Linked DNA regions of Bombyx mori. The protein of the gene in region 1 binds, or shares a complex with, the protein of each later gene. Links are inferred from orthologs where the notes say so. Each region holds a gene or a part of one and is shown on either strand. Other genes may lie near its edges.

Region 1 (10,969 bases):
CAACATGAAATTATTTTATTTTACAACAAGTCAACTGGGGACTGGGGACCTTATGCAGTCGGTTGGGCGGGAGAGCGCGAGGATTACGAGTTGTGATTTTTTTTTTTTATAATTTAGTGTCTTTATAGTTTTAAACGTGTAGTGATGGTCGTTTACTGTTTAGCATCTGTAAAAGGACACAATTGTGGGAAAATGAAACAAGGCCGCTAGACATAACTTCTAAGGATCTCCAAAAAATTCAATAAATGACCACTATTTTGTAGAGCCTTTAAGTAATTCTGTATAGAATTCTATATATCTAATTAATTCTATATAGAATTAATTAAAGGCTCTACAAATGAGATAATATTATCTCGTTTCATTTCTTAATTGATTAACGGCTCAAATTAATCAAGTTATTTCCTTTTGCTCCATGTCATTTTTCATAAAACATAATTTACAAAAGATTAGACAGTATGGTGTTACATCTTCGCCTTTCCAATTAGAAAAACGGAACAGAGAACTGCCACTTTTGCATGTCTGTCACTGTCAACCAGTCTAAGGCAATTCATTTACCTCTAGTTCGGATTTATGCATTTAATATAAATTAAGGTTAAAAGGCCATTCTTCGTTTATCCGTAAATATATTTTAATTTGTTTTAGAAATGACGGATATAGATAAATGGATAGAAGTTGCAAAGAGATGCAAATACCTCCCGGAAGATGACCTACGGGAACTGTGCAATATAGTTTGTGATTTGTTACTTGAAGAACCTAATGTTCAGCCGGTACAGACACCTGTGACGGTTTGTGGTGATATTCATGGACAGGTAAGCTGCCTGATCCAACTGAAACATTTAAAATTACATCGGAAAACTAACCAGCTTATTCTCTTGTGACTTTACAACTTAAATCATTTAAAAAAGTTTGTTGGATAAAACCATCAGTTAATTTTCTAAATTACTGCAACTAATAAATTGTAAATTCAATTATAAGTATAAGAATAATAATAATGAAATGTTTAGTAATGAAATGTCTAAGAGCTCCTGTAGAAAAACTATATTTCAAAATGTAATTTCAATATTTTCAGTTCTATGATTTAGAGGAGCTTTTTCACATAGGTGGTCAAGTGCCATATACAAAATACATATTTATGGGAGATTATGTGGATCGAGGATATTATAGTTTAGAAACACTAACCTTGCTCATGGCCTTGAAAGCTAGATATCCAGATAGGTGAGTTGTACTTTAAAAAATTTAAAGTATTAAGTCAAAGATATGGATGAAAAAATACATATTGCTGTTACGTAATTATATCAATTATTATTAATATCAATTATCATTATATCAATATTGATTGAGGTTATATGAAATCAATAAATTTCCCCATTAATCAGAATAAGTTTTTTCATAATATACAAATAAAGGTAACTCCAGATAATAAGTATTTATGGATGCAAAATTAATATTGTTTTTTTTTGTCAATATTATTTCGTTGATACACATTGCCTTTCAACATCTTGTTTAATAATATTTATATTCAAATCTTCTTATTCAGGATAATCTTATTAAGGGGTAATCATGAAACATGTCAAATAACTAAGGTTTATGGATTTTATGATGAATGTCTCAATAAATATGGAAATGCAAATGCATGGAAAGACTGTTGCAGAGTTTTTGATTTGCTCACTGTTGCTGCAGTAAGTGGACATTGAATAAATATTATCTAAAATAAAAATATAAATTAGCTTAAAATTTTAGTTATAAAGCTTATTTCTTAAGAATAAATTGGGATTATGGTTCATGTTTGTCATAGTTTTATGGCTGAAAACTTCAGACAATTTTGCAATTTTAACGAAGTCAATAACATTTTCAACAATAAAATGATGGTATCAATTTTTCTAATGATATAAGTACTGAACACATGTGTCCAAGTGACTTCCATGATGGAGGATTACTAATTTGTAATAAAAATTGAACCAACTAGGTATGTACTAAGTATAATTTGTATAATTAATTTAGGTAGGGCATCTTGTTAACCGGCACAGGTAGATATCATTATCGCGCTTATTTCTAAGATGAAGCAGGCATTGTACTGCAAAACAGAGTTAGAACTTTGTCTCGAGGTGGGGGATAAGATTGGCTTTTGTTCATGTTTACAGACTAGTAACCACTTAATAATAGGTGGGCCGTAAACTCCTTTATCTATATAAGCAATAAAAAAATTAAATTAGATTATGTTACAACAAATCATTTAAGTCAGCAACTTTTACAGTTAATTGATGAAACCGTCCTATGTGTGCACGGTGGTCTATCACCAGAAATATCTATGATTGATCAAATAAGATGCATTGATAGAAATCAACAAATTCCACACAAAGGTGCATTCTGTGATTTGTTGTGGTCAGATCCTGCTGATGTGAAAATGTGGTGAGTATGTAGCTAATGCTGATGTAGAGTATATGAAAGATGTAGAATGTAGGCTCTGGGTAAGACATTGTCTGGTTTCACTCATCCTCACTAATTAAAAGTACTTTTACGGTTTAATCTTGTGTTTTGTATAATTATTACAGTCAAAACCGTTTACTGCGACATCGTTTAATACAACATGCCGGTTATAATAACCAAGAACAAAGGTCCCGGCTGAATGCCATATGACCGCCTTATTAAAAATATTGCTTTCTACGACATACCTCATAAAACGACCACATTTAACTAATATTTCGGAGAATTAGATCTGTTAGAACGACCGGCTAAGCTGTATTGTAAACAATTTGAATAGGTATCCACATTTGTCTTCAATGGCTTTTAAAATCACGAAAGAAAACAATAGGATTTAGTTTAGTGTAGGGTCTTTTCTAATTCTTAGAAACAAAACACGTGCATGCGGTAGTCAAAGTCCGCTTCTTCATATTTCTTCAGTTAGTTTGTTACTTATCTATACACAAGACGCACCAAAACTTTGTGGAGTTATTCATGAAACTTTAAAAATGTCACAAAAAAAAAGAAAACAAATTAATATTGAAGAAAAATCGCGTATTATGTAAATATATTTTTCCAATAATTCCCTATCGATTTATTTGTACTTGCGCGATACACATTAAACATCACCGGTTGTTACGACTATCGGTTTTTACGACTGAATATGAGCAGTCCCTTCGATGTCGTTATAACAGATTTTGACTGTATATTATTTCTAATATTTCTAATACTTTATAGTGTTTGTGGTCCAAACTAGGTCACTTTGTGTACTAAGTGTCAGTATGATCATGATAAGATTTAGTGTTTTAATTGTGGAGAACCCAGATCCAAATGATTATAAAAAAAAACATGTAATAATACATTTTTTTTAATGTACAGGTCAGTAAGTCCTCGTGGAGCTGGATGGTTGTTTGGCTGTCAGGTTACAGAACTCTTCATGAATTACAATGATTTAACTCTTATATGCAGGGCACATCAATTAGTGAATGATGGTGTGTATTTTTAGTGTTTTATTTTATTAAGTGTTCAAATTAAAACTTAGTGTACATAAGAAAACCATTCCACTACCATAAGATAAACTCTCAAAACATCACAAATCCATCAGAAATATTATAATATCTCGTAAATCTTCTCACGTCAGGTCATGTCATAAGATGAGTTTACATTCGAACTACAGACTACACAATCCGAAGGCTCACCATCATTGAATTAGCAGTAGTGCCACTCTTTTTAAATTGCTAGTTTGAATTAAATATCAAGCACTGAAGTCTACTCGTGCCAATCCAACTATGCCAATGTTTAAATCTGCAGACTTATCAGCCAAATATATAGTAACTCATGCTTACAAATAATTTTCGCAATGAAGGATTAATACTGGGTAATAAAAATCAAATCTACAAAAACTAGAATTTCAAAAATGTAATTGAAATTACTATGTAATGAAAACTTGGACCTCATGTCTCAAGATGGGTAGCAATAGTCACATATCTATGAGATCCAGTAACCACCAAATGCCAGATGCGCCAGGAATTCATTTCATTATGCTAGAAAAAATAAAAACTCAATATTGTAATAATGTTTTTTTAATGTAATCAGGTATATAGCTTTGTTGGGTAAATGTAATATCTTCACACATTTTAAGATTCTATTTAACCTAATACTTTTCTGCAGGTTATAAATACATGTTTGACAAAAGATTAGTAACAGTCTGGTCGGCGCCTAACTACTGTTACCGATGTGGTAATGTTGCCTCAATCTTGGAATTCAACACTGTTCATGATAGAACAGCAAGGTTATTCCAAGCAGTGCCTGACACCGAACGAGAAGTTCCTCCACAGCATACTACTCCATATTTCCTTTGAGCTGAGATTATGTGATCAAAGTATTCCATAAGTGTAAAGTTTTGTATTAATAAATGTTGCATCTATTACAATTTTTTTGTTTATTGACCCACTTTTATGTTCTTTATTATGAGATCTGTTCTTTTTGACATATTACTATAATTTTTTTAAATCTTCATTATTTATACCTTCGTTTTTTATATTTATATATTTAATTTTACCTTTTATTATTAAATATGTACCATCATGAAATAGTCTGTTGAAAATGAATAATGGGATTAACAGAATATATTACAAACTAGCTTTCTGCTGCATTACATATCACATGGGTGGAAGAGATCCATGCTCAGCAGTGGAATGAAAGGCATCCCAGTTTTTTAAAGGTTAAACTATTTCCATACAATGTTTCAATATATATGCAGTGAAAATCCTTTCAATAGATTCAGAAATATGTGACAAATGTGGGTGAACAGACAAATGGTGACCAATTCTAAAAATGTCCAGTTTATGTTCTATTACTGTTCTTTAATTATTATTTTTCTACTTATATAAAATTTCCTAAATGTATAGACGTACTGAATTAATTGTTTTATTATATATGTAGATTGATAAAGTGGCATGCATTTAAATAAATGATATACAAAAAACTTTAATGAGGCTTTATTTTCTTATAATTTTATGAAACACTAGAGTATTGCAAATTAACTACTCCCTATTGTAATCGAAAGTGTAGTCAAAGTAAGATTGATCAAAGTTATGAACACGAACATAACCATCTTCACCTCCGGAAGCATAGGACTTTCCATCTGGATGGAAAGCCAAACTGTTGATAGGACCAAAGTGACCTTTCACTCGGCCAAACTCCTCTTCAAATACTAAGTGGAAGAAACGAGCATCGAATTTACCCTGTCTGGTTGATGTGGTTGTCACTTCCATAGCATCTTGACCACCACCAAGTACAACATGATCAAGGATTGGACTGAGAGCAGCAGAATTTACAGGTCTCTCTGTCTTGTATTCTTTAAGAAGTTCTAATGAGTTAGTGTCAAATAACTTAGCAGTATGATCCTTGGAAGCAGTTACAAACATTGTGCCGTCACGAGAAAGTTGCATATCGGTGATTTGGTGGGTATGCTCTTTAACAGAGTGGATTTTTTTACCAGTCTGAAAAATAATTAGATATCATTAGCACTATTTAAAAATAAACAGAATAATTTCTATGAAAGATAATTTTTTTGCATGGAGAAAGTAGATAATATTTGAATTTACTTAGTCTATTGAATAATTATTTGCATACCCTCAGATCCCATTGTATAAGGTCACCAGCTTCATGACCAGTGATAATTGTCTCATCTAAAGAACCCCAAATCATTGAAGTAACCTTTGAATCTGTGATTTCCCATTTTAAAATAGGAGCTTGACCTGACACTGTTTCATCAATTGTTCTTGTATCAATAACGAACACCTGTAAATTGACATAATACTTTATATCTTAATTGTTATCACAGGATATACAAAATTATAATACTAGTTAGTAAAAACTTACTGTATATGTATATAGGAAACACATTAAGGGTTAAAATAGAGATTCCCAAGAGTTGATATTGTCTACCTAAGCACACTATAATTTAACCGACTCCAAAGTTTCAGTTCAGTTTGAAAAAGGGTATTTCCTGCTCAAAATATTTTGTGATTTAAGTTAAAGGGTATTAAATTTACAAGTGAGCCTTTCGGTAATAATAAATTTTAAATGTCTGGAGCATAATAAAAAAAAACAAAGTGAAATGTCAGCATAAATGACACTTGTACTGTCAACAAATCTTAGTTTAAAGAAATACAAGGTATGTAGGAATTACTCTTGAATACTAAGTTGTAATCATTAATTGACGGATATGTTAAAGAACAAAAAATAAGATTTTTTTTAAGGCATGGCCCTCAATAAACCACTTTGAAGTGAAGCAGACAAGTTCACATTGTGGTTTAATAGAGAATGAAAGTTCTGAAACGGAAACAACTATAATAATATTTATGCTTAGCTTTGCATACAATTTTACTTTTCTTCTAATGTTAAAGTTGCCAGTCATAATATCCATTAGTCTTTCTCATCCTCAATTCATGTTTCTCTATTTAAATAAAATGTATATACTATGTAATTACCTCACAAGGGTGTCCCATAGCTTTGTCAGTGGTATAAGCAGCTTGATATGCACTATAGCTGAAGTTGCATGTTCTTACAGAAGAGTTGGATTTGAGTGTTGCAATATTCTTGCCTGTCTCCAGATCCCATAACCTGTGCATCGTTTAGTGTTATCAACAGCCTACTCATCTTTGAGCAAACAACATGAAAAAAGAATGCAATTTTCAACACTTTATTTGTTTATAATATACTGAGGATAATACCTGCAGGAACTGTCGCCACCACCTGTGATGAGATTAATTGACTGCCAGTCGACGTCAAGGCACCATATTACACCACCGTGGCCGTTGAAAGTGCCAAGACGTTCGCCGTTCAGTGACCACCAAACATTTGGTTTTGAATCTTTAGCGGCGGAGAAGAGCAAGTCACCCTCGCGGTTATATTTGATCTGTGTGATGGCACGCTGGTGCCCTTGCAGCATAAGAGGTTTCTGGAATTACATGAGTAAGTAATTTACCTAATTTATAGTCATAGCTATGTTTGTGATTGAATTTGTTTGATATTTCACACAATAACTTTGGAGGCATTAAAATTTTGTATAAGAGTGTTATTTACCATGTTTAGAAAGTATTTTATTTAATAGTTTATTATAAATCACAATAAAAACGATGTGGTGACATGTGGCAGGCGGCGGACCTTTTGACAGAAGATTTTTTTTTCTTAATTTTTATTTAGCCTTCGCTTGGCGCATAGTTGAGCTCTATAGCCTATGGTAAATTTTTATAGGATGTTATGACCTGGTAACTAAGACCTTTAGGTCATGTCTTATTTTAATTTATATTCTTATTTTTATGAAAAATGATAATATGGAGTGAAATGAAATGAAATTAAATTAAATGAGATGAGATGATATGGGATGAAATATAATCTCAGTAAAATGGTGTCATTTACTAAGATTTTTTCAGTGGACTTTTTGGAGGATCCCGTATTGCTACGTCTAGCGGCTTTGTTTCATTTTCCCACATTTGTGCACTTTCGCAGATATTAAACAGTTAATAAACCACCGTTATTACACACTGAAACCTGAAGAAACACTAAATAGAGAAAATAAAACCAATCACACAACTTCACTCCTCGCGTTCCCGCCAAAAAGTCCATACATTTAATTTAGTTACAATCATAGATTATACACTTAATATTTGAGAATTACAATAAAATTCTGGTCGTACGTGCACGTGTTGTACATCAAAAATTCTTCGCTCTGAATCTAGTTTTTATTGAAGCTAGCACCTCTTTTTTTTCTCTTTTCTTTTTTCCTACCTATGGTATATCCTTGCTATAGCCTTGAAAAGCTATTTCAGCTTCATCCTAACATATAGGTGAGCTCACGGGGATCAAACCGGAAGTGTTGCTAACACTGGCCCTAGCAAGAGCAGTGCTTCGCAGAATCTACCACCGGATCGGAAACGCAACCCACTGAGAAGCTCCGACGAGAAACTCAGTGGGCTGTGTCTATGGGCTAATTCACTCGTCGAGCCCATCGTCGCAAGCGACGGGTTCAACGAGGATGGTGACCGGTTCTAGCACCAAAATACAGTCCACGCTCTAAAAATAATGCACCCACAGTCCAAAGTTAGGTTTGAAATATGTCCACTTGCAAGATTTCTTGAAATGTTCGCTAGTACAATTCGGGTTGATCGATACTGTGATCTCCAAACATTCTCAAAGCTAACCCCGATGTTTCCAGGAAATAACTGATTTTTCGTTTGACGCTATAAAAGACGGATAAAAAATAAAACATTTTCAACAATATTTGACATACATTTTATTTTCTTAAATTAATAACCATTGATTTCCAAGAGTACAACTAAAAAACAAATTAAAGTACAAACACGTTATGCGTTGCTAACTAAACACAACTGTAGGTAACTTCTCTTGGCAAACCAGTACACTGTTTTTGACTAACATCCGGCGCACCACTCGAACGAGACAAACGAGAGACAAAACTCACAATCAATAGTCACTACGCACTTAACTTGGTCGTATAACAAACAGCCTTTATTAATCCATCGAGAATAGTACAGCAATCAGCAACTAATGTGATTTGCTACGTACAAACATAGAACCTTATGGTATTCATAATACTTAAAATTATTTCTACGTTCTGAAAGCAATAAGTCTTGAAATTGAGCGAGCTCAACCAAACATGTGAAATACAGCACACTCTCTACCACATTGAATTCTCGTGCAAAACAATATTTGATACGTTTCTAGTTATTGAGGCACTTACGATGTTATTATTTGTTAAACTAATAAAGTGAAACGACTGTATTTAAATTTGCTTTATAATAGTGTGTATATCAATACATTATAATGAATACGTTACACATAAAAGAGTAAAGCTAAACACGTTTGCGTGTTCATAACGTAAACAGATCGTTTTGATTCAAATGTAACTTGTAGAATTTATTATTACGTGGATACTTAGAATTCAAACATCTGTGAGATACTTAATTACATACAACAATCGCTCAATGTTCCAAATACCTGGTACAGCTTCACACTCGTCTTCATAACTATTTAATGTCTAACGTACACAAATATCAATCTTCCGTTTACCCGAAAGAAATTGAAACGCTATTTTTTTATACACAACAAACCTTATCCTACAAATGTGAAATATATTTCTCTTATGGACTGTAAAGAAATTGTGAAATGCATTAAGTTTTTGTTACACCCTTATAAATAGATTAACATTATAATGTTTGTTACATTACTATATCAGTCAAAATATTTTCGAGTTAGATATTATCTACGGATCGGCTTTCAAACGAATTCTTTTATAGACTCCGAATTATGTATATTAGTTTTGTTTAATTGACAGTGTTGTTATTGTCGTGTGTCGAACGAATGCACGAATACGTGCCCTTCTAATTTGAAAACCGATCACCACCTTGAAGATTCTCTGTGGCATCGAGATCTACTGTAATATAGTATTCAGAAAACACAAAACAACGCGGCAAACATAAGCAAATCAAATACTCATAATACGGCTTCTGTCAGTCAAATTTGTTACTAAATTTCAAAATAGAATATTAAAACGCTACGTTTTTTAAAAAAAAATTGAACGGGCGAAAAGCAACGAAAAGTGAGTGTGGCCATTTTTCTGGTCGAAGCATAACTTTAATAATATTTACATTGTAAACGTATTAGCCTCAGGAGGCTCCTCGTGTATTTATCTAATTAGGTACTCGCCAGTAATGCGCCAATTTCATTGTTTATTTACTAACAATACTATCCTTTGTACAACGCCAATAACATCCTTACGAATCTAGTTCCCTTTTAACACTGCCGTTAGTTTCATCTTAACAATACGTTATGCTAATAACAAAATAAGTGTCAATATTACTTAAATTATCATTTACATACACAATATTAATAGAACGATGCACAATTCGCGATTACATTTTATAATTTACGATTTTTTGTTTTTACACGTTTAAAAATCTATAAAGGCATCTTTACCTCAGACTTTAGATTTGACACCGTCGTTTTGATGGTGTTGTTTATGTACTAATTTTTTTTATTAAGTTAGATAAAATTGAATAAATAAATAAAGACACCCAATTGTCGCAAAGTATTCGCATAGTGAGACCGAATAAAGGCGAGCGCTCACGGGCCGTGGTTGCGTATCGCGAAACGCGCGTATCTTCGAACGGTCTAGATCCGACATACTATCACTGAATATTATCACAATTAACTAATAATTTCACCAACGACGTCAACTTATATTTATCTAAATTAAAATACAACAAAATTAATTGAAAAAAAAACTACTTAGGCATTTGATGGCAGTTTCGTAACTGGTTGTTTTAATATTTTCACAAACTAAATTAATAAAAATGTACAAAACATTATTATCGACTAATACTTAACTAATGGTAACACGATGAGGAACGGACGTGTATCGCTCATTCAGGTAACAGAATCATTTTACTTACAATTTGTGTTCTCGCGAGAGTTCAAGATTCAGCTTGTGTGCTTTGTCGATGCTAAATTTAAGAGAGCGCATTACACTGTTATTTTGAGACCAAAAAACCTGGCAAACATGCTTTTGTTTTTTATTATTATTCCAATAAATTTTAAGCGACTGCAAGAATCATTGAATTAAACAAGCTTGTTTGATTTGTTTTATAAGCTATGACTTTGAGTTGGATCGTAAAGGACATGATTTAATTTCACAATTAAGCTAAACACTTTTTGATATTCTCACATCAAACATTGTTAGTCCTTTTTATAAAAGTATGAAATTTATTTTAAAGAATAATGTTCAACAAATTGCGATTTCACGCATATATTGTATAAAAAATCCGATAGACCTCCATTTTGACTGCAAAGGCGTATTAAGACCTATTCAACTAGAACCTAAGTCCTTAGAACGAACTTTTTGGTTGTCACTTAATTTACAACGAGACGAATTCGCCTCCTACACCTAATGGTAACTGTTCACCGTTGCTGGAACGTTTATTAC
Region 2 (10,869 bases), on another chromosome or scaffold:
TTGCCTTTGTTTTGTCCAGGTTCATTACCATAAAACCTGTAGAATAGATTGTAACCTTTAAATTAAAGTATAATGATTTATTAAAAAATTTCACTCTATTAATCCTGTCCCTATATAATGAAAAGGGAATTTTAAAATTATATCATTGTATGTATTACCTACTTGTTTTGTATTGCATTTGAAGGCTGAAGGTGATATTAATATGGCCCTTTTTTTTTCCTACCTAAGCTTATAGCCTTAGGGGCTATTTCAGTGTAACCCTAACGTTTGTAGGTGAGCTCACGGGGCTCAAACCTGATGACGTTGCTAACACGAACCCTAGCAAGAGTCGTGCTTCGCAGAATCTACCACCGGATCGGAAACGCGACCCACTGAGGAGATCCGGCGAGAACCTCAGTGGGCTGTGTCTGAGAGTTAATTTACTCGTAGAGCCCTTCGTCGCAAGTGACGGGTTCGACGAGAACGGTGACCGGTGCTTGAAGTACCTAAAAGCACCGTTAGTGGATCGGGAGGATCCGAGATGACGTGTTTTGGGCGACGTCGACTGCTTTCCATTCTGTCCGCAGGATCGGGAATGTAGTTACCGGCGGCCACGATGAGAGGGTTCTCGTGTCGTGCCGCTTTATCGAAGTGGCGCATCGACGCCGACTGAAGATACTTACTGATGGACTCTAAGTCCAGGTCGTCATGGAGGTCGACGTTCCTGACGAACCACGGGGTTCCGACGGCTATCCTGCAAAAACGGGATTGAATAATTTGGAAGGATTTTAAGTGAGTGCGGGCCGTGTGAGCGAACACTACACTTGCATAGGTCATGACGGGGCGTATGCAAGTTTTGTAGAGTGTCACTTTATTTCTAAGGGAATATGGCCCACTGAAAGGTGAACCAATTTTTTTTTTTTGTTGCCCTTGTAGGCAGACGATCATACGGCCCACCTGATGGTGAGTGGTTACCGTCGCCCATGGACTTCAGCAATGCCAGGGGCAGAGCCAAGCCGCTGCCTACCGCTTAATACTCTCCACAAGCCTCGTTTGAAGAAGGACATGTCATAGCGCTCGGGAAACACCGTGGAGGGGAGCTCATTCCATAGCCGGATACGGTACGTGGCAAAAAAGCTCTCTGGAAACGCACTGTGGATGACCGCAGTGGCTCCAGGTAGTACGGATGAACTCTACTCCGGTGGCGGGCGGTGCGATGGTAAAAACGAGATGCCGGTATCATCTCGAACAATTCCTCAGAGCACTCCCCATGGAACATACGGTACAAAAAACAGAGGAAACCGAAGTCCCTCCGCAGACCCAGAGGTTCCAAACGATCCGTGAGAATGGGATTATCGACAATCCGAACGGCCCTCCTCTGTATGGAGTCAAATGGAAGAAGCTGGTATTTGGGAGCCCAGCCCAGAGATGGGAGCAGTACTCCACGCGAGGCCGGACTTGTGTTTTATAAAGCAGAAGCCTTTGTCCAGGCGTGAAGTACCGCTTCGCTCTGTTGAGGACTCCCAGCATTTTGGACGCCAACTTGGCTTTGCCTTACAAATTACTCCGAAACTGGACATCGCTCGAAATGTCGACCCCAAGTATCCCAATACTCTCGGAAGGTTGCAGGGATACTCCTTGGAATTGCGGCGCCATGACAAAGGGGTCCTTCTTCGCAGTGAACGCGCAAACTTGTGTCGTTATCGGGTTGAATTGAACCAAGTTCAATTCACCCCATTCGGAGACTCGCCCCAGAGAGTTCTCCACTTCAGACACAAGTTTTGATCGTCTCTCTTGCACCACGCTCCGAGAGAGACTCTGATGGCCGATATATCGCGCATCCCCCGTGCTGTCATCCGCATAGCAATGCATGCCATCAATAAACAGCATGTCATTGATCTACAGGATGAAAAGCGTGGGGGAGAGCACCGAACCTTGTGGAACGCCAGCGTTAATGGTCATGGTATCAGAACAGTCACCGTCTACAACGACCGTGATGCTCCGCCCATCCAAAAAGCTAGCGATCCACTTGCAGAGACCCTCGGGGATTCCGTAAGATGGTAGCTTCGACAGAAGTGCCCTATGCCAGACCCTGTCGAAGGCCTTCGCGATATCAAGGCTCACAGCAAGAGCCTCGCCCTTGCTCTCCAAGGCTTCAGCCCACCTGTGAGTAAGGTATACAAGAAGATCGCCAGCTGAGCGACCGTGACGGAAACCGTACTGTCGGTCACTGATCAGCTGGCGATCTTCAAGATACTTCAGGAGTTGTATATTTATAATTCGCTCCATCACCTTGGAAAGCAAGGAAGTTATCGCGATAGGCCTATAGCTCGATGGGTCCGACCGGTCACCCTTCTTGGGGATAGGGTGGACGTGGGCGTTCTTCCATGAAGACGGAACCCTGTTAGTGCAATAAGAGAGGCGATACAAACGCGTTAGCGCAGGCGTCAGCTCAGGGGCGCACCTTTTCAGAACCACAGCAGGGATGCCGTCCGGCCCACTCGACTTATGGACGTCCAGGAGTCGGAGTTCCCGCCTGACTGCTCACTGTGTAAAGCAGATCTCCGGCATGGAACTGTCACACCGGGGGATGTTCGGTGGTGTGGCACCCCCGTCGTCCACAGTCGAGTTCGAGGCGAAGAGTTTGACCAGAAGGTCAGCCTTCTCTTTCGCACTATGGGCCAGACTGTCATCGGACTTGCGTAGTGGTGGGAGACTAGACCTGCAGAAGTTACCTTCTGCAGCCTTAGCGAGCGACCAGAAAGCACGGCTCCTGGCGGGATAGCTCTTCAGTCGCTCGCCAATTCTGGCAACGTGCTCCGACTTCGCCCTGGCAATAGCCCTCTTATAGGACCTAGAAGCGGCGTTAAATTTCCGCCTTTCCTCAGAGATATTAGGATCCTGGCGTCTCCTGGCATCATTCCATGCCGCGTATGCGGACCGCTTGAGGCGTGCAGCGTCCCGACTGGCATTGTTATACCAGGGTCCACTGCGACCCCCGACGGGCACCTCGGAAGAAGGAATGAACAGTTCCATCCCCCGAAGCACCACGTTTTTAAGTCGGTCCGCACAGACGTCAGGATCACCAGAGGAAAATATATGGTGAATATATGACTGAGGAAATATGATGAATGGTCACCACTACTTATGGATATCCATTATGATATAGAGATACCATCAATGTCAAAGACACAGACAAGATACTGCCTATTGTTGAAGAATCTTAAACTGAATGTGATCACTTATCATCAGGAGACTTATAAAGTGAATGAAACATAATGGTTTATTTCAAATAATACACTAAAACTATACAAATCTGTTTAATTTGTTTTAATTATGTCATTATCTTGAAGTAAAAAAGCTTCAAGTAGCGTTTTTTCAATTAAAACTCTTGAGCACCCCAACGTATCTGAAAAATAAAGATCAAAAATTATATTTTTCAACACTTTAAAAGGAACAGCAACATGTAGTTGTATTATAACTGTTCCCGAAGCTGAAAGTGGAATAAATGATAAACCTTAAATTAATTACTAAGCATACACACACTTAGTAAGTATTTTATCATATTCATAAATAAGTACAAATATAGTGAAGCCACAACGTAAGGAAAAATTGTAAGTGCCCACATGTTTTCTCATCCCACATCAATGAATGCAATAAAAACAGCAATAATATTTATTTATTGCGTGATTAATTGAAACTATGTACTACCTATTGACATTATTTTTTGCGAATGGCTTTTTTTAATTTTAATTCGTGTTTTTAACATATTCAAATATGAGAATGAGGCCACGGCTCACCTAGCGTTGAGTGGTTACTGGCGACCCATAGGTATCAACATGTGAAGACCTCCACCCACCATAAAACAGAGATTTGAATCTGAATTGTATAGTACTACTGCTGTCCCACCAATTAAGCTGAAGAGCATGACTGCTTCACGGTAAAAATAGACACCGCATGGGAGAGTATTTTATGGTTGCACGGATAAATACCACCATAGGGCATAAGGTTCCAATACATCAGGAATATTTTAATTATAACATAATTTTTTTTACTCACATCTTGATTGCGTGCTTTATGTTTCCTTTCCACTAATGAAGTCAGAGCTTCGGATCTCACTGCCAGTGAATCGATTCTCTCAACTAATTGTTGATATGGCGAAAGAGGTTGTGCACCCATCACCACGTGACCTAACTTGGAATCGATCTTCGCGTCCAGGCGCGCATTACGGATTAAGTTCACGATCCAGCATTCCGCTTCATCAGGCTGCATGTTTAAGTTCTCGGCTAACATTCTGTAAAAAAATTTAAACTTTCTCTCATCACATTGATACATTATATCAAAATAATTTTCAGCCCACAGCCGTCCACCGCCGGACATACTACCCTGTCAAGAAAGTACCAGGAAAAGATCAAAAATACACAAAATGTTAATTATTCGTCCAAATTTATTGTATCATCTTCAAAGTATGCTCTTTTAGAAACGATACACTTACGCCAACGAATAATCTAATCATAAAAATATTTGAGTTTAGGAAAAAGAAAGTGCTAGGCCATATCTGGTGGATAAGGTGGTTGCTTCAAGCATTTGTTGAGTTTTTGGTCAAAATTTCGTTCACAATGATGGCCTTGTCCGAAGGCGCAGTATTGTGATGCAAAATCCAAGAATTTTCTATCCACAAATCTTACATCTGGGTACGCATCGACTAGTGAGACACAGAAAGTTTGGCGGCTATATCTCTCAAACTTGAATGAGGATGCTCTGGTCATTATTTCCTTCACTTTTGCGATGTTAACTTCAATTGCTGACGTTCCTGGTCATTTTTTTTATGATTGAAGGATTACTGGTGGCCCGGAGGCCTTTCCAGTTTCACCAGGACAGGTGGGCGAGCAAAGGCTCAGCCAGGAGGGGTGGGATTTACTAACAGCTACCCGAGCGCCTCCGAAGGAGACCTAACAGCTCAAGAGTAGCTGCTTCGCGAATGAATCTACTACCGGATCGGAATCGCGACCCGCTGAGAAGATCCGGCTAGAAACTCAGCGAGCTGATTCATGGGTTAGGTTGCACGGCGAACTCTTTGTCGAGTTCGACGAGTACGGTTACCGAGGTCCCTAAGCCTGCTCCTAGTGTTAAAGCTGAAGGCGTCTAATGTAAAGGTTATTGGATCTGATGGATCCGTAAGGACGTGTCTAGAACGTCGACGGTGACTGGCTCCTGCGTGATCAGGATTCGGGGAGTAATCAGCGGCGGCAACGATAAGGCGATTATCATGACGGTTCCTGGTCTACCCGAGTGAGGCAAATCTTCCATCACAACTCCACCGATTTTGAACAATTTTTATCATTCTTATGCACGCGTTTTGGACAAAGTTGATTTACCATAAGCTTTCGAGAGGTAACATTTTCAGTGACTCCGAAAATGAAATTTGATTGGCGATGCAAAATTTAAGACAAACTCTTTGTTCGATGCTTTTGTTCATAATGAAATTCGCAATACTCACTGGATATAATTAAAAACAGCACTGTATAGTATATCCACTAAGTATAGTAGATTAAATTATGTAGGTAGCATATTATGCTACTCAAACTCCGCGCCAAAATCGAAAACAGTTGTGCCAATCTTATAAAAAAAAGTAGGGAGTTTGGAACTTTTTTTCCTTTTCCCTTTTCGCTGGTGGCCTAAGAGGCTATTCCAACTACGCCCGGACAGATAGGTGAGCTCGCGGGCTCAACCTACGAGAATTTGCTAACACTAGTTAGCAGTAGAGCAGTGCTTCTCAGAATCTACCACCGGATCGGAATCGCGAACCACTGAGAAGATCGGGCGAGAAACTCGGTGGATGGTGTCTATGGGTTAGTTCGCTCGTACTCTTCGTCGTAATAGACAAGTTTAACGAGCACAGTGACCGGTGCTTGAGGGTCCTAAAAGCACCGAGAGTGAATCCGGGGGATCCGACAAGACATGTTTCGGGCGACGGCGGTTTTCCGTTGCTCTGTCGCAGTCGGATAAATAATTAACGGCGGCCACGATAAGAGGGTTTCGTGGCGCGCCGCTTGTAGAAGTAGCGTTCAGTTTGAAACCAAATACAATTCCCGATACTTTTTTGACTGAATGTAGGCCTTTTCCAATTTACGTAATTACAATTCTAATTTATTTACCTCAATGAAATTGCAAATATACACCTAACTTATTAATATTGAGCTTCAGTGCTTGTAATATAAAAATAGAACCACTTTTATTTCCACGTGCACACGACACCAACTGCATCTAAATATGAATGTGTCAGTGATTATGGTCATATCTTAACCAGTGTGCGAACACTAGTTAGTGTACATAAAAACGTTAACAGAGTAAACGTTCACACTTACCCAATACTAATGACTTGATGAATACGGCAGAAAGTTTCAAAGATCATCAGTCGAGCATTTTCGACAAACTCTTCCAAACAGGCGATTAAGAAAAAGTCAGTCAAAAGTACAGCTTGGCATTGATTCAATTTTCGACGGGCCGCTTCAAAGTCAAAATTAACGTAAAGATGTTCAATGAACTCTGTGATAGGATCTCTGAAAAATAATATATATTTTTATTTCGTATTTGCGATAAACACAAACATAAAAAAGTGTCATCATATATCTTAAAAAAAAATTTAAAGCACCTATAGGTGTAAGCTTCTTGTTGAATAACTTTCACAAGGTCCTTCAAGGCATTTCTGCGAGACCTGTTTATGATTACTGCAGTAGCCAAGTAGCGGAGGATGTGGGGACACATCGTCTGGATGGCGTTCAAGTACCTGTAATACGATAATACATATTATGATACCTTTTAAAATAATATAACTGATTCGGTTGGGGTCGCGGTTAGTGACCATTATTTCAGTACCTCGGGTCCCGGTTAGATTTTCCGTCTGAGTTAAGGTCTCTTTTGCAATTGGATCGCCTTTGGTTTCATTACCACTCGGGCTTTGGAATGTAGAATATACATATAACTAAGTTAATGTAACAACATATTTTTAATTGATAATTATTCTTTTCATTGCCTATTATGTTGCCATATTAGAGACTCGAAATTTTTCATAAAATCTGAAGATAAACATTCCAAAATGTAAAACTTACAAAGGCTTATACAGGAACATTTCGATGATCAAATCACGTCCTTTGACATGATTGAAGAACACGAATAGCGACCAGTGAACCAGCCAGGTCCGTTGCTGTAGGGCTTGCATGTTGCTGGCAGTGGAACCGGCTCCACCGTTATCGATGAACTCTCGAAGTTTGGTTAGATCATCGAGCGCGCCATCCCAATTTTGTACCAAAATTTCGCTAGCCAATTTACCCCAAAGAACCGACAAATAATTCTGAAAACAATATATTCGTTGTTTACCTTGCTAATTATTATTTATGATAGATTCTCTTTGGTGTCTACAATGTTATTTTCTTTCTCAATGACATAATGTACTTAAAGGTGACATTTGAAATTAAATGCAAGTTTATATCGAAATGCCATGTACAAAGTTAATAATACGAAAACACGAAGAATCGAAAAACTGTAAAAGTTTGCAAATTTTAATAGACGATGACGAACATTCAGCAAATGTGCATTTTGGAAAATGGGCGGATGGGACAGTTGATACTAACAAGAGTACCAAATCACCATGTCTTATTGTGAAGATAGTTTCCACCTTTGAATCAGATCTACTTAATTTAGAATCTAGTGCTAAGCTGCTAGAACCCGATAAAGTGAACGAATATTTAGACACTAACACTGATTGCCGCTTGAATAATAACAATCGAATCATACATCAAAATGATAGTAATGAATTTACTGAAAAACATATCAATAACGTTCCCAAAGATTACATCAACCCCTTACAGTACAGTCTTGATAGAGTGAATGAGAATAATGCCCGAATTATGGAAAATATTAAAATATTAAATAGAACATTGGATTTGACTAAAAGTCAAGAGATTTTAGATACAATATACACGAGATCTTTGAGACATCCTTACTACCGTGGGTCAAATTATATCCATGAAGCAGGAATAAAAAAACATTTTAACTGCCAACATTTAACAACAGAATGCAAGACACAACAGCGTTGGCAAATCGTTTGGACTTGCATTCAATGTTTTCAAGTATGGCCTCGTCGAGATCAAGCAATTGAACATCCTGGTGATAGTTGTAATCCAAAAGATATTGAGGGCATTCGAGAAATTAAAACCTCGTCACTATTACAATGCGAGTTTTGCGAAAAAGTATTTACAAGTATTCCAAGACTTTTGACTCATAGCAAATTGCACTCTGTCGTAAACAATTACGAATGCACTACTTGTAGTTTAACATTTAAATCATATAAAACTAACGAGCAACATTGGCTGGTGTGCCCGTGGTTGAAAATATACAGTTTTGAATTGCCTAAATTTTTGTTGTGCAACATTTGCGACCGTAAATTCAAGAATTACGATCAACTCTACAATCACAGGTGAAATTCTCTTCGCATTTTTCTTATCTTATAGGTGCCTTCAATTCGATTTCCATTCAAGGCAGATATCATACAATGGTAATGGTCCAATGGTAAGTGCTTACTGTCGCTCGTACACCTTTGCCTACTGCTAAGGGCTCTTTTCAAAACTCATCCGACGATGAGGATATAAAATTTCAAAAAACACCACGGAAGCGAATTCTTTCTAGAAATGGATTTACAAGGCAAGCTCTTGAAACGCAGTGGTAGTGGCAGTTACATAGTGGTAGTGGTAGTAGGAGTGTACTCTACTTCAGAAATGGTACTGATGACTGACATCTGCTGCATATAAAGTATGGTATAGATCACAGGGGGAACCAACCTCTATTCGAAGAAGAGAAGTCAACAAACACTCTGAACGCTTCTCTCTCCTCTTATGAAGCCAAAGAAAAATAGTACATACGGATCAAAGTTGGGTTGTGGTAGGCTACGCGAGGTCGAACCTGTGCTTTATTTAGGCGCTTAAGTTTTTATTAAGGAGTGAATTACAGCCTTATTCTAGTAAGGAATCATAAACAAGAATGGACACTCTGTCGTTAGTTTGAGTTTGATTTACGGAGATTTACTTTTTTTTTCTTTTTTTTATTGCTTAGATGGGTGGACGAGCTCACACCCCACCTGGTGTTAAGTGGTTATGTCTAAGTTCTAAGGTCTCAGTATAGTTACAACGGCTGCCCCACCCTTCAAACCGAAACGCATTACTGCTTCACGGCAGAAATAGGTAGCGCGGTGGTACCTACTCGTGCGGATTCACAAGAGGTCCTACCACCAGAAGACTTACTACTTAAAGCTTGTAAGCATCACACACTAAGATTATGTGCATGAAATAAGATGGAACTCTGTAATTAAATTAATAAAATATTTGCAGATATAAAGCTGAACATTTCATGCTGAAAATCATTCAAGATATTAAAACCGATGAGCCAATGATAAAAGCGTCTATCAGTATTTTAGCTCATCAATGTGAGCTATGTGGTCTTTGGTATAACGCCCTTTCAGAAGTAAAAGCCCACAGAACACAAGTTCACCAACAGTTTGATGCTATAGTTTATTAATATGCAATTTCCCTAAATGCTAGTTGTTACTTGCAATAAATTGTATTTTTTTTACTTACAAATAGATGTAGTATTTAACATTCTTATTAATTAATACAAGAAATAAGAACTGAAATATATTAATTTACAACTTCATAAATCTTTAAAATTAAAAGTGTTACATTTTATCTTTTTTTCATAGATGGGTACACAATCTCATTGCCCACCTGCTCTATTGATACTGGATACTATAGATATCACAATGTTCATATTATATCTACATAATAATATATTCCTAACCTATCTAATACATGAAGTTGAATTTTTTTTTTTTTATTGCTTAGATGTGTGGACCAACTCACAGCCCACCTGGTGTTAAGTGGTTACTGGAGCCCATAGACATCTACAACGTAAATGCGCCACACACCTTGAGATATAGTTCTAAGGTCTCAGTATAGTCACAACAGCTGCCCCACCCTTCAAACCGAAACGCATTACTGCTTCACGGCAGAAATAGGCAGGGTGGTGGTACCTACCCGTGCGGACTCACAAGAGGTCCTACCACCAGTACCCAACTGTATTGTAGAATAGCTGTCCCAACCTTCAAAACTTAATAACAGGTTCATGATAGAAGTAGCCAAAACGGTGATAACTACGCATGAGGATTTCCAATACCCCCTATTATCAGTATATGCTCGTAGGCTATATCAGTACACTATAATAATATGCTGAGTACTGCTGCCCATTCTCTGGCGAATCTCGCGTGACTCTAGGGGAAAAGCTGGTGCTATACCACACACAGAGTAAGTCGCTTTTATACATTGCTGCCTATACATATTTTGACAAATTTATTTTACAAGTCTATTTAAATGTCATAACAATGGCTTCATTTCATAATACATAGGTATTTGATAATTAAATACAATATGACATATTATGTTTTTACTGTTCCTTACCTTGTCAGTTGGCGACATCACCAGTTGACAAAAGTAAAGATATGATGCTGACTCCACATAATTTCCACATTCATAGCGATATTTGGCCAAACGATACATGCTATCGATCATTTCAATTTTAAACTGGAATAGAAATTGATATTAGTCAAACCATTCTTTTATTTTTAGTTTTATTTAAGGATTTATATTTATAAATTGAATATCTTGCTGGTAGACATATTTCATATATCTACTATATACTAAATATGTTTACTAAGACCAAACAATTTTAGGCTTATTTTTTTCTTTTTTTGGTGGACGAGCTCACAGCCCTCCTGGTGTTAAGTGGTTACTGGAGCCCATAGACATCCACAACGTAAATGCGCCACCCACCTTGAGATAT

Evidence for each region. Proteins that work in one complex are often made in the same cells at the same time.
Region 2: eIF3i (region 1) and eukaryotic translation initiation factor 3 subunit E share a complex: the UniProt entries of both Homo sapiens proteins name them as parts of the eukaryotic translation initiation factor 3 (eIF-3) complex. The link is inferred for Bombyx mori from reciprocal best matches to the Homo sapiens genes EIF3I and EIF3E.

The regions. Positions count from the first base shown.
Region 1 is NC_085121.1:5,014,186-5,025,154, forward strand, and holds eIF3i (eukaryotic translation initiation factor 3 subunit I), read right to left. Parts: upstream 7,133-10,969; 5' UTR 7,057-7,132; coding exon 7,054-7,056; intron 6,929-7,053; coding exon 6,702-6,928; intron 6,592-6,701; coding exon 6,459-6,591; intron 5,767-6,458; coding exon 5,599-5,766; intron 5,466-5,598; coding exon 5,007-5,465; 3' UTR 4,806-5,006; downstream 1-4,805. Other genes in the region: serine/threonine protein phosphatase 6, read left to right, coding at 645-809, 1,070-1,215, 1,538-1,679, 2,255-2,409, 3,340-3,452, 4,132-4,322. UniProt on the Homo sapiens protein: Component of the eukaryotic translation initiation factor 3 (eIF-3) complex, which is required for several steps in the initiation of protein synthesis.
Region 2 is NC_085111.1:12,353,268-12,364,136, forward strand, and holds the end of eukaryotic translation initiation factor 3 subunit E, read right to left. Parts: intron 10,611-10,869; coding exon 10,488-10,610; intron 9,692-10,487; exon of another isoform or gene 9,553-9,691; coding exon of another isoform or gene 9,366-9,552; intron 8,459-9,365; coding exon of another isoform or gene 7,458-8,458; exon of another isoform or gene 7,365-7,457; intron 7,334-7,364; coding exon 7,092-7,333; intron 6,770-7,091; coding exon 6,635-6,769; intron 6,543-6,634; coding exon 6,348-6,542; intron 4,274-6,347; coding exon 4,039-4,273; coding exon of another isoform or gene 3,892-4,038; exon of another isoform or gene 3,717-3,891; intron 3,389-3,716; coding exon 3,362-3,388; 3' UTR 3,288-3,361; downstream 1-3,287. Other genes in the region: uncharacterized protein LOC134198937, read left to right, coding at 1-47; zinc finger protein 280B, read left to right, coding at 7,458-8,458, 9,366-9,552. UniProt on the Homo sapiens protein: Component of the eukaryotic translation initiation factor 3 (eIF-3) complex, which is required for several steps in the initiation of protein synthesis.